Linked DNA regions of Oryctolagus cuniculus. The main gene of each other region encodes a partner of the protein of the gene in region 2 in a complex. Links are inferred from orthologs where the notes say so. Each region holds a gene or a part of one and is shown on either strand. Other genes may lie near its edges. The genes, in order: UBE2G2 and AMFR.

What was found.
Region 1: the proteins of AMFR (region 2) and UBE2G2 are in contact, whole or in part, in an NMR structure (PDB 2LXP), measured with the Homo sapiens proteins. The link is inferred for Oryctolagus cuniculus from reciprocal best matches to the Homo sapiens genes AMFR and UBE2G2. Residues at the interface, in NP_001135.3 of Homo sapiens: Ser574, Ala575, Arg578, Gln579, Met581, Leu582, Arg585, Lys586, Leu589, Leu590, Ala593, Arg594, Arg596, Phe597, Leu598, Lys600; in NP_003334.2 of Homo sapiens: Tyr13, Leu16, Thr17, Pro20, Gly23, Ile24, Val25, Ala26, Gly27, Pro28, Met29, Asn30, Glu31, Glu38, Leu40, Met42, Glu45, Glu50, Phe51, Val53, Val159, Gln160, Leu163, Gly164, Leu165.

What each region holds. Positions count from the first base shown.
Region 1 is NC_091435.1:1,796,812-1,800,530, forward strand, and holds the end of UBE2G2 (ubiquitin-conjugating enzyme E2 G2), read left to right. Parts: coding exon 1-117; intron 118-1,745; coding exon 1,746-1,858; 3' UTR 1,859-2,990; downstream 2,991-3,719. UniProt on the Homo sapiens protein: Accepts ubiquitin from the E1 complex and catalyzes its covalent attachment to other proteins. In vitro catalyzes 'Lys-48'-linked polyubiquitination. Involved in endoplasmic reticulum-associated degradation (ERAD).
Region 2 is NC_091449.1:40,179,064-40,182,963, forward strand, and holds the start of AMFR (E3 ubiquitin-protein ligase AMFR), read right to left. Parts: upstream 2,604-3,900; 5' UTR 2,393-2,603; coding exon 2,138-2,392; intron 1-2,137. UniProt on the Homo sapiens protein: E3 ubiquitin-protein ligase that mediates the polyubiquitination of lysine and cysteine residues on target proteins, such as CD3D, CYP3A4, CFTR, INSIG1, SOAT2/ACAT2 and APOB for proteasomal degradation.

The DNA.
Region 1 (3,719 bases), on a different chromosome or scaffold from region 2:
TCTCGATCCTGCACGCGCCAGGGGACGACCCCATGGGCTACGAGAGCAGCGCCGAGAGGTGGAGCCCAGTGCAGAGCGTGGAGAAGATTCTGCTGTCCGTGGTGAGCATGCTGGCAGGTGAGTGCCGGGGCCGGGCCCCGCGGCCGGGCGTGGGAGCGGAGGTGCTGCTGGGGCCGTCGTGCCCCGCAGTCTCTCCTCCCTCGTGTGGCCGTGTCCAGTCCACGCTTCCTCGCTGCCCGTCCTATAGTGCTGTTTGCCTGCACACATTTCAGGGCAGTTGGGTACCGCCATCGTATCATTGACCGTCGTTAGCCAGACGTCCGCATACTCGGGGGGGTTTCTTGGGCCCTACTCTTGGTGCCAGGCACTGTGCTCCGTGTGCAGCTCCGGGTGACAGAAACCCCGACTTTAAAGGGAGCTTTCTGAGGGTAGACCGGAGACCAGGACACACACAGGCTGTCAGGCCAGTTCCTGAGAGGGGGCGGCTGGGCTGAGTCTGGGGCATGTTAGCACAGTAGGAGGGCGGGAGAGGCATTTGGGCCAGAGGAAGCCACCAGGCAGGGGCCCAGGGGCAGGAGGCAGCTGACTCAGTGGGGCACTGCCAGCTCACTGCGCTGAGCCAGGGCTGGGAAGCGGGGCGCGGTGGGAAGTGGGGCGGGCAGTACGCCGCAGGGGCAGTGCTGCAGCTGGTGCCGGGGGTGGCAGTGGAGGAGAGGCAGAGATGTGCTAGGTGGGGTCCAGGGACCCGGGGCGGCAGAAGGCTGCAGTGTGGGCCCCAGGCCACAGGGCACAGTCCGAGGCCTGGCTGACTTCTCTTTCTCCCGTGAAGGCCAGGGCCCGCCCACTGAGGGGCTCATCCAGGACCACTGGGTGAAGGGGACTCTGGGTAGGGCGGCAGGTGATGGCACAGCCCAGAGAGGTCACGTAGAGGGACAGGGGGCGAGGAGGAGCCTCCAGAGGTCGGGGAGACACAGAATTGCCGCCAGGGTGCCGGGGGCCTGAGGCAGCTGTGGTGGGCCGTGCGCCCTCTGCAGGAGCTGTGAGAGAAGTGACCACTGCAGAGCCCCTCAGAACGGAGACCGCGGTGTGGGTGGTGCAGCCACTGGCCCCACGCAGTCCCCTGGGAGGCTGTGTGTGCCTGTGGCTGTGTCGGGGTGTTTGCAGAGCACGATGGAAGATGGCTGGTCGTTGGCCTCTCGACACCCACGACAGTTCTCTCGCGAGGGCAGCTGCTGCCCCACGCCGTGTGCTGCGGTTGGTGGTGCCCAGCCGCTGGTGTGGAGAGCTGCGTCCCTCTCCCGGCCCGCAGGCTCAGTGCCTCCTGCTGGTTTTGGGGACCTCTCTCGCGAGGCCTCTCAGCGTTCTTAAAGGGAACGGAAGCGCTTTGCCGAGTGGCTTGCCTTCTTTTTTTTTTTTTTTTTTTTTAGTTATTATTAAATGACTTCTTATTTAAAAGACAGAATGACAGAAAGGGAGAGACGGCTTCCATCCACTGGTTCTCTCCGCCAGTGCTGCACAGCTAGGCCTGGGCCAGGCCAAGCCAGGAGCTCCATCCGAGTCTCCCAGTGGGTGGCAGGGCCCAAGCACTCGGAGCGCCCTCCGCTGCTCCCAGGTGCGTGAGCGGGAGCCGGGTGAGGCACAGAGCGGCGGGCGTGCGCCCTGGCCCGCCCCGCGCCTGGGTTGCTCGCGTCTGGAGTGGCGGCCCCGCCCCGCCTCGCCCCCGCTGAGTGCTGCTGTCCTTTCAGAGCCCAACGACGAGAGTGGAGCGAACGTGGACGCTTCCAAGATGTGGCGTGACGACCGGGAGCAGTTCTACAAGATCGCCAGGCAGATCGTGCGCAAGTCCCTGGGGCTGTGAGGCCAGGCCTCCGACGCGGAGTGACAGTGACACTGTGCTGGCACCGAAACAGGCCCCTGAGCAGAGCCGCGGTGTCTCACTTTCTCACCTTCCCCTGCCCGGCAGGCCTCTGCCACGGCGGCTTAGCACCTCGACGGCCACGTCACTACCTCTCCCCGAGGCCCCGCAGCTCCGCCGCCTCCCCTCCTGGAGCTCCGGGGTCGCGCTGGCCAGCCTTCCGGGACAGGGACACCGGCCATGCCCTGCCCGCCACGGGCCGGGCCGCTCCCCGAGCCCCCGGGCATCGGTCACCTTCCCGCTGCATCCCCCTCACGTCTGGGTACAGCGTGTGCACGTGATCACGGAGCGTCACACGTAGAAATGCCTTCTGAAGGCCTGTGGCCTGCGGGTCCCGGCGGCTGTGGAGGCCTCAGCGCCCCAGCACCCCGGCAGGGGCGGGGACACGGGAAGGCTGCATCGACAGCGTCCTGGCCCTCCGGGCGCCCCCTCCCTTCAGCAGAGAAGCAGACCCTCGCCCCAGCGGTCGTAGCTCGGAGCACAGAGCTGTGCCTTACCCCCGCCCTGGCCAGCGCGCGTGGAGCAGGCACACGAGCCTGGGCCCGGCAGAGCCCGCGCCGCTCACGGCCGGACGTGATGGCTGCGGGGCCTGGTGCCGGGAGGCGGCGTTACAAGCAATAACACATCTGTCACGTGCAGAGTCCACACAGGTTACATTTAAATAGGAACCTATTTTTGACGTAAGGGACGGTCTGTGAGACACAGTCGGCTTTTCCTCACGCTGCCCTCCATCCGCCCTGCCCTCCCTGACGCCGTGCGCGGAGCCGCTCCCTGACGCCGTGCGTGGCGGCCGTGGAAACCAGCTCCTGCCTTTCCTCCACGGGAGGGGTCGTGTAAAATCCGAGATGGGAGCGCATTGTATGTGCGCCTCCCGGCGGGGACGCGGTAACAGGAGCGGGCCGCGGGCCGGCATGGGGGGGCGGCACACAGGCCCGCAGGCTGCCTAGGCGGGAGAGAGACAGTCTACAAAAAGTATTTTTATTCATTTGTATTTATTAAGTGCCCCCAGCCCCTGCCTCTGTTCTGTGTGGAATTTAATTACTGTGTTGCAAATAAAGTTACCCATTTCCCCCGATCTGCAACTCCCTCTTTGTTGTGTTTTTCGTGTGCTGGGAAGCCTAAGCCCAGAGGCCCCGGCGGCGGCAGGGCCTCTCCCGGCCTGGAGCAGTGCTGGGCCGTGTTCTCCCTCCCTCCCTCCCTCCGGGACTGGATGTGACCTCGGATGCAGAGGGCGGGGAGCCCTGCTGGTGGCAGCGCAGCCCAGGGCGGGGGAGAAGCGCCCGTTCAGCCGGAAACCTGAAGTGGGAATCCAGGAAACCTGAAGTGAGAATCCAGGAAACCTGAAGTGAGAATCCAGGAAACCTGAAGTGGGAATCCAGGAAACCTGAAGTGGGAATCCAGGAAACCTGAAGTGGGAATCCAGGAAACCTGAAGTAGAATCCAGGAAACCTGAAGTGGGAATCCAGGAAACCTGAAGTGAGAATCCAGGAAACCTGAAGTGAGAATCCAGGAAACCTGAAGTGGGAATCCAGGAAACCTGAAGTGAGAATCCAGGAAACCTGAAGTGGGAATCCAGGAAACCTGAAGTGAGAATCCAGGAAACCTGAAGTGAGAATCCAGGAAACCTGAAGTGGGAATCCAGGAAACCTGAAGTGAGAATCCAGGAAACCTGAAGTGGGAATCCAGGAAACCTGAAGTGAGAATCCAGGAAACCTGAAGTGGGAATCCAGGAAACCTGAAGTAGAATCCGGCGTTTGGTGTCGTGAGGGGCACGCTGGGGCCCCTCCTGCTGGGCGAGTGACCA
Region 2 (3,900 bases):
GAATTGAATTTGTTAATCAAAAACCTCCTGAAATGCTCAGGCCCATATTATTCTAACTTGTATTCCAACAAAAAATAAGTTTTAGAGGTTGCAATATTCTAAATAAGAGCTAGCAGGATTTGCTAACTGGCAGAAGGATCAGGTTTTGTTTTGTCTTCCTTGGCCTTGGCTGTGTTTTAGAAAAATTTCATCTGAATGCCTATGAGCAGGGCCCAGGAGCATCCTTGCTGACAAAAGCCGCCCACGTTTCCTCAATACTGGTATCTGTTGGGTAACAATGGGGAAGGCTTCTGAGACCCTACCTTCCACTCAGCTGCACAGGGACAGGCAATGAGCGATGGAGAGCACTCCTAGTGCACACGTGAAGGGTTGAGAAGGCAAGGAGGCACACAAGGACACAGGAAAATCCCACAGGAAAGATGGGAGAAAATCAGAATGAGGATCCACTGAGAACTGGAAATACTACCCAGAGGGAGGAAAAAGTGGCAAATCTGCATAAATTAATACCTCTAGGAAAAATAATTTCCACAGAAAAAGCAAAAGGCTTTCTGTAATGTTTTATGAAGAGATATTAACCTTGAAAGTTGAACCCTGGTATGGTAAGAAGAAACTTCTGGGGGGAAAAGTCATTAAACAATACTTGCAGTTGTTTAAATACAATGGTGGTTCCTTCTCAAAGGCTTACTTATATCGTAGAATGAAAAAATATATCAAAGACTACATCATAATCTTAACAGCTGGCAAAAGCACTCTTCACATCGCTTAGCTGTTTACCTGCTAACTCAAATGCAAAACCAGGCTCGAAATTAAGAGATGTGAGTTCTCTTCTCCCTCTATGGTCGGTATGACTGAGCTTCACCCAGAACTTCACCCTTCACTGCCTTCTATTAAACTCTGCTTAATTCACAGCCCCCAGAGTTCACAAATCCCACTGCTTCCTGATGAAGCACAGTGGGAATAATTAGAACCAATGAGTTGCATATCACTCTACAAACTTGGAATATTAATCTCTCCCTCGTTTCCAGCCTACTCTTTCCCCCAAATGAGAGATCTGCAGAGGCAAACAAGACTCAAGACACCATACTAAATCCAAGCGACAGACTAAATCCTGGAGCAACTTTCCTCCTTACTGTGGGGTTTACAAGAAGAGGTATTCAAGACCAAGGCGAAAGCAAAATTCTTTAGCCAAAACAACAGAACTGTTGCTCTAGCAGTCTGAAGTCATCGTTCTCGTAACCGAAACCAGCATGGACACCTTGAAATGCTGCTTATCTTGCAGGGGCAGACGAACTGGAAACCTTGCTTTAAAATGGAGCCCCCAAAAAGAGAACTTCTGAGTGAGAATGAGCGGCGTGCCTCTTCACTCTGAATGTTTGCTGCCTTCGGACATCAAAGGAAACCGTCACGAATCGTCAGGTACGAGCAGCAGGACAGGAAGCACCGTTTGTCTGAGGTTTGTTACATCAAACAGCGCCCAAAGAGGACAAGCAAAACACTAAAGGCACAAAAAGTTTTGAGGAGCGCCTCTCTCCCGACGGGAATGCACAAACACGCCCTGCGCTCGGCGTCCCCCTTCCCCGTCCCTGCCCTCCCGCTCGAGCACCGCCACGCGAGGAGGGAACGGCGCTTCAACTTCCCCGCACCGCCCAGCACGCGGGCGGGGAGCCGCGCGCCCGGCTCCGGCTCCCCTTGAACCTGCCCTTCTAGGCCTCCGGGTACCCCTCAGGGCCCCTCAGAAACCCCGACCCTACCAGTCGGCGTTTCCTTCCACCCCTTCCGGACGCCGGCACCTCAGCCCTCGGCCCCCCGTCCTCCTCCCCGGGCCAGCCATGCTTCTCAGCACCGCCCCTCCGCCTCCCCAGCCCCCTTCCTCGAACCCCCAAACTCGGCCTTGCCCCGGGGAGCCCATCACCTCCACACCCGCGGGCCAACCCTCAAACCTCACCCTTCTCCTTCCAGGGAGCCCCCCGCCGCCCGGCCCCGCCCCCCACCCACCCCCCGGGCCCGCACACGGCGGCGCGGGAGTCAGGGGACCCCTAAGCGCCGTCACGCCCCCCACGAATAATGGGTGACATGGCGGCCCCCACCCCCACCCCCAGGCCGCTCCTGCCCCGCGGGCCCGGGCAGCGTCGCTTACCCACACGAAGAGGCTGTCCGAAAGCAGGTACTGGGCCACGTCGCGGGCCCGGGGTCCCTCGGGGCCAGGCCCCGCGGGCGCGGGCGCCTTGGGCTGCAGCGAGGCCGTTAGCGGCTCCTGCTCGCCGGGCCCGGCCTCGGGCTGGCTGAGGGCGCGGTAGGCGCTGACGATGGTGCCGAGCAGGGCCAGGCCGCTGAGGCCCGTGTAGGTGCGGAGGCTGGGCCAGGGGAAGCGCTCGAGGAAGAGCAGCGGCATGGCGGCAGCGGCGGCCTCCGGACCCCAGGCCTCCCCGCGCTGTGGCCAGGCGCCTGTGGCAGCCTCACAAACGGCGCCCACGGGCTCTGGCGTCGCTGCTGCCGCTGCCACCGCCGGGCCGGGCCGGGCCGCTCCTGGCTGCTGGCGCCGCTCCGCCCAGCGCCGCTCCCGCTGCTGCCCCTGCCGGCGCGGAAGAGCCTCGGCGGGCTCGGGGCGGGCCGCCGCCCCCAGCGGGACGCGGGCGGGCCGGGCGCGGGGGCGCGGCCTTCGTCCCCCCACCCCCTGCCTCCAGCGCTCGCGCCGCCGCCTCGTGGGGGTAGGCCCGGGCTTCAGGCCCTGGGGACTGGCTCCCCGCGTCCTGCACCGACAGCCCCGCTGGGCCGGGCCGGCAGACGCAGAGGGAATCTGCTCCAGCCGGAGCCCCGGCAAGGCTCAGGCCCGCCGCTAGTGGCGTGCAGTCCTGGCCAGGCCACAGTGCCCGCGGACCGGCCACTTGCCCTGTAGTTAGCCCTGAGCACCACTGTGGGCCTAGCAGTTTAACTGGTGTCCAAATAGGGAGGTGGTGTTTGGGGTGTAAAAGATCCCCCCAAAAGAAGGAATGTTAAACAGTCTTAAGTGTTTACTAGTAGACTCTAGAAACAACCTGATTCGGCAGGAAATAAAAATGTGCAAGTGAGAATACTGACATGGTGCAACTACTTTGGAAAAAAAGTCTCCTCGCTTCCTCAAAGTTAAAAATCAGAGTGGCCATTTGACCTAGCAATTCCGAGAAATGAAAACCTTGTATCCATACAAAACTCATACAAATAACAGCACCATACTCCCGGTAACCCAAATGTGGGAACCCGGAATCTCCATCAAACAATGAATGGATAAATGTGAGAAATCAACACAGTGGAATATTATTCAAAGATGAAAATGAAAATTGATATAGGCTACAATATGCACAAATCTTGAAAGCATTCGAAATCAGAGCAGTGACACTGAAGTCCAAATACTGTGATTCCATTGATAGCAATGTCCAGAATAGGAAAATGCATAGACACAAAAGTAGGCTAATAGTTGCTTCCTGATAGGAGGCTGATAGCCAAAGGGTAATGATTTCTTTTTGAAGGGGTGTAATGTTTTAAAATTATGATGGCAAGCCAACTCTGAATAGACTAAAAATCAGTATACACCTTGAACAGTGAATTACATCTTAATATGTGACTTATATGTCTTTATAGCTGCTTACTACCCCTCCAAATGTATAAAGGAAAAAACTACCTTAAGTAGTGCCCAGCCCAGAGTGGATGCTGTTAAATATCTGTCAAATCTAAGGAACTCTCTAGAGGACTGAATTATGCTTTATGGTCTTTTTCTTGCATGTATTCTAAAAGTCTGTTCATTAGGAAAAACATTCTCAAGGTTCCCACCCACTTTGGAATTTTTCAAACACCTTGTTCCAGGTCTCCATGAAACAAGTCTGGCTCTACAGGGGTGCAAGGAGTTTACACCTTTGCTGGCGA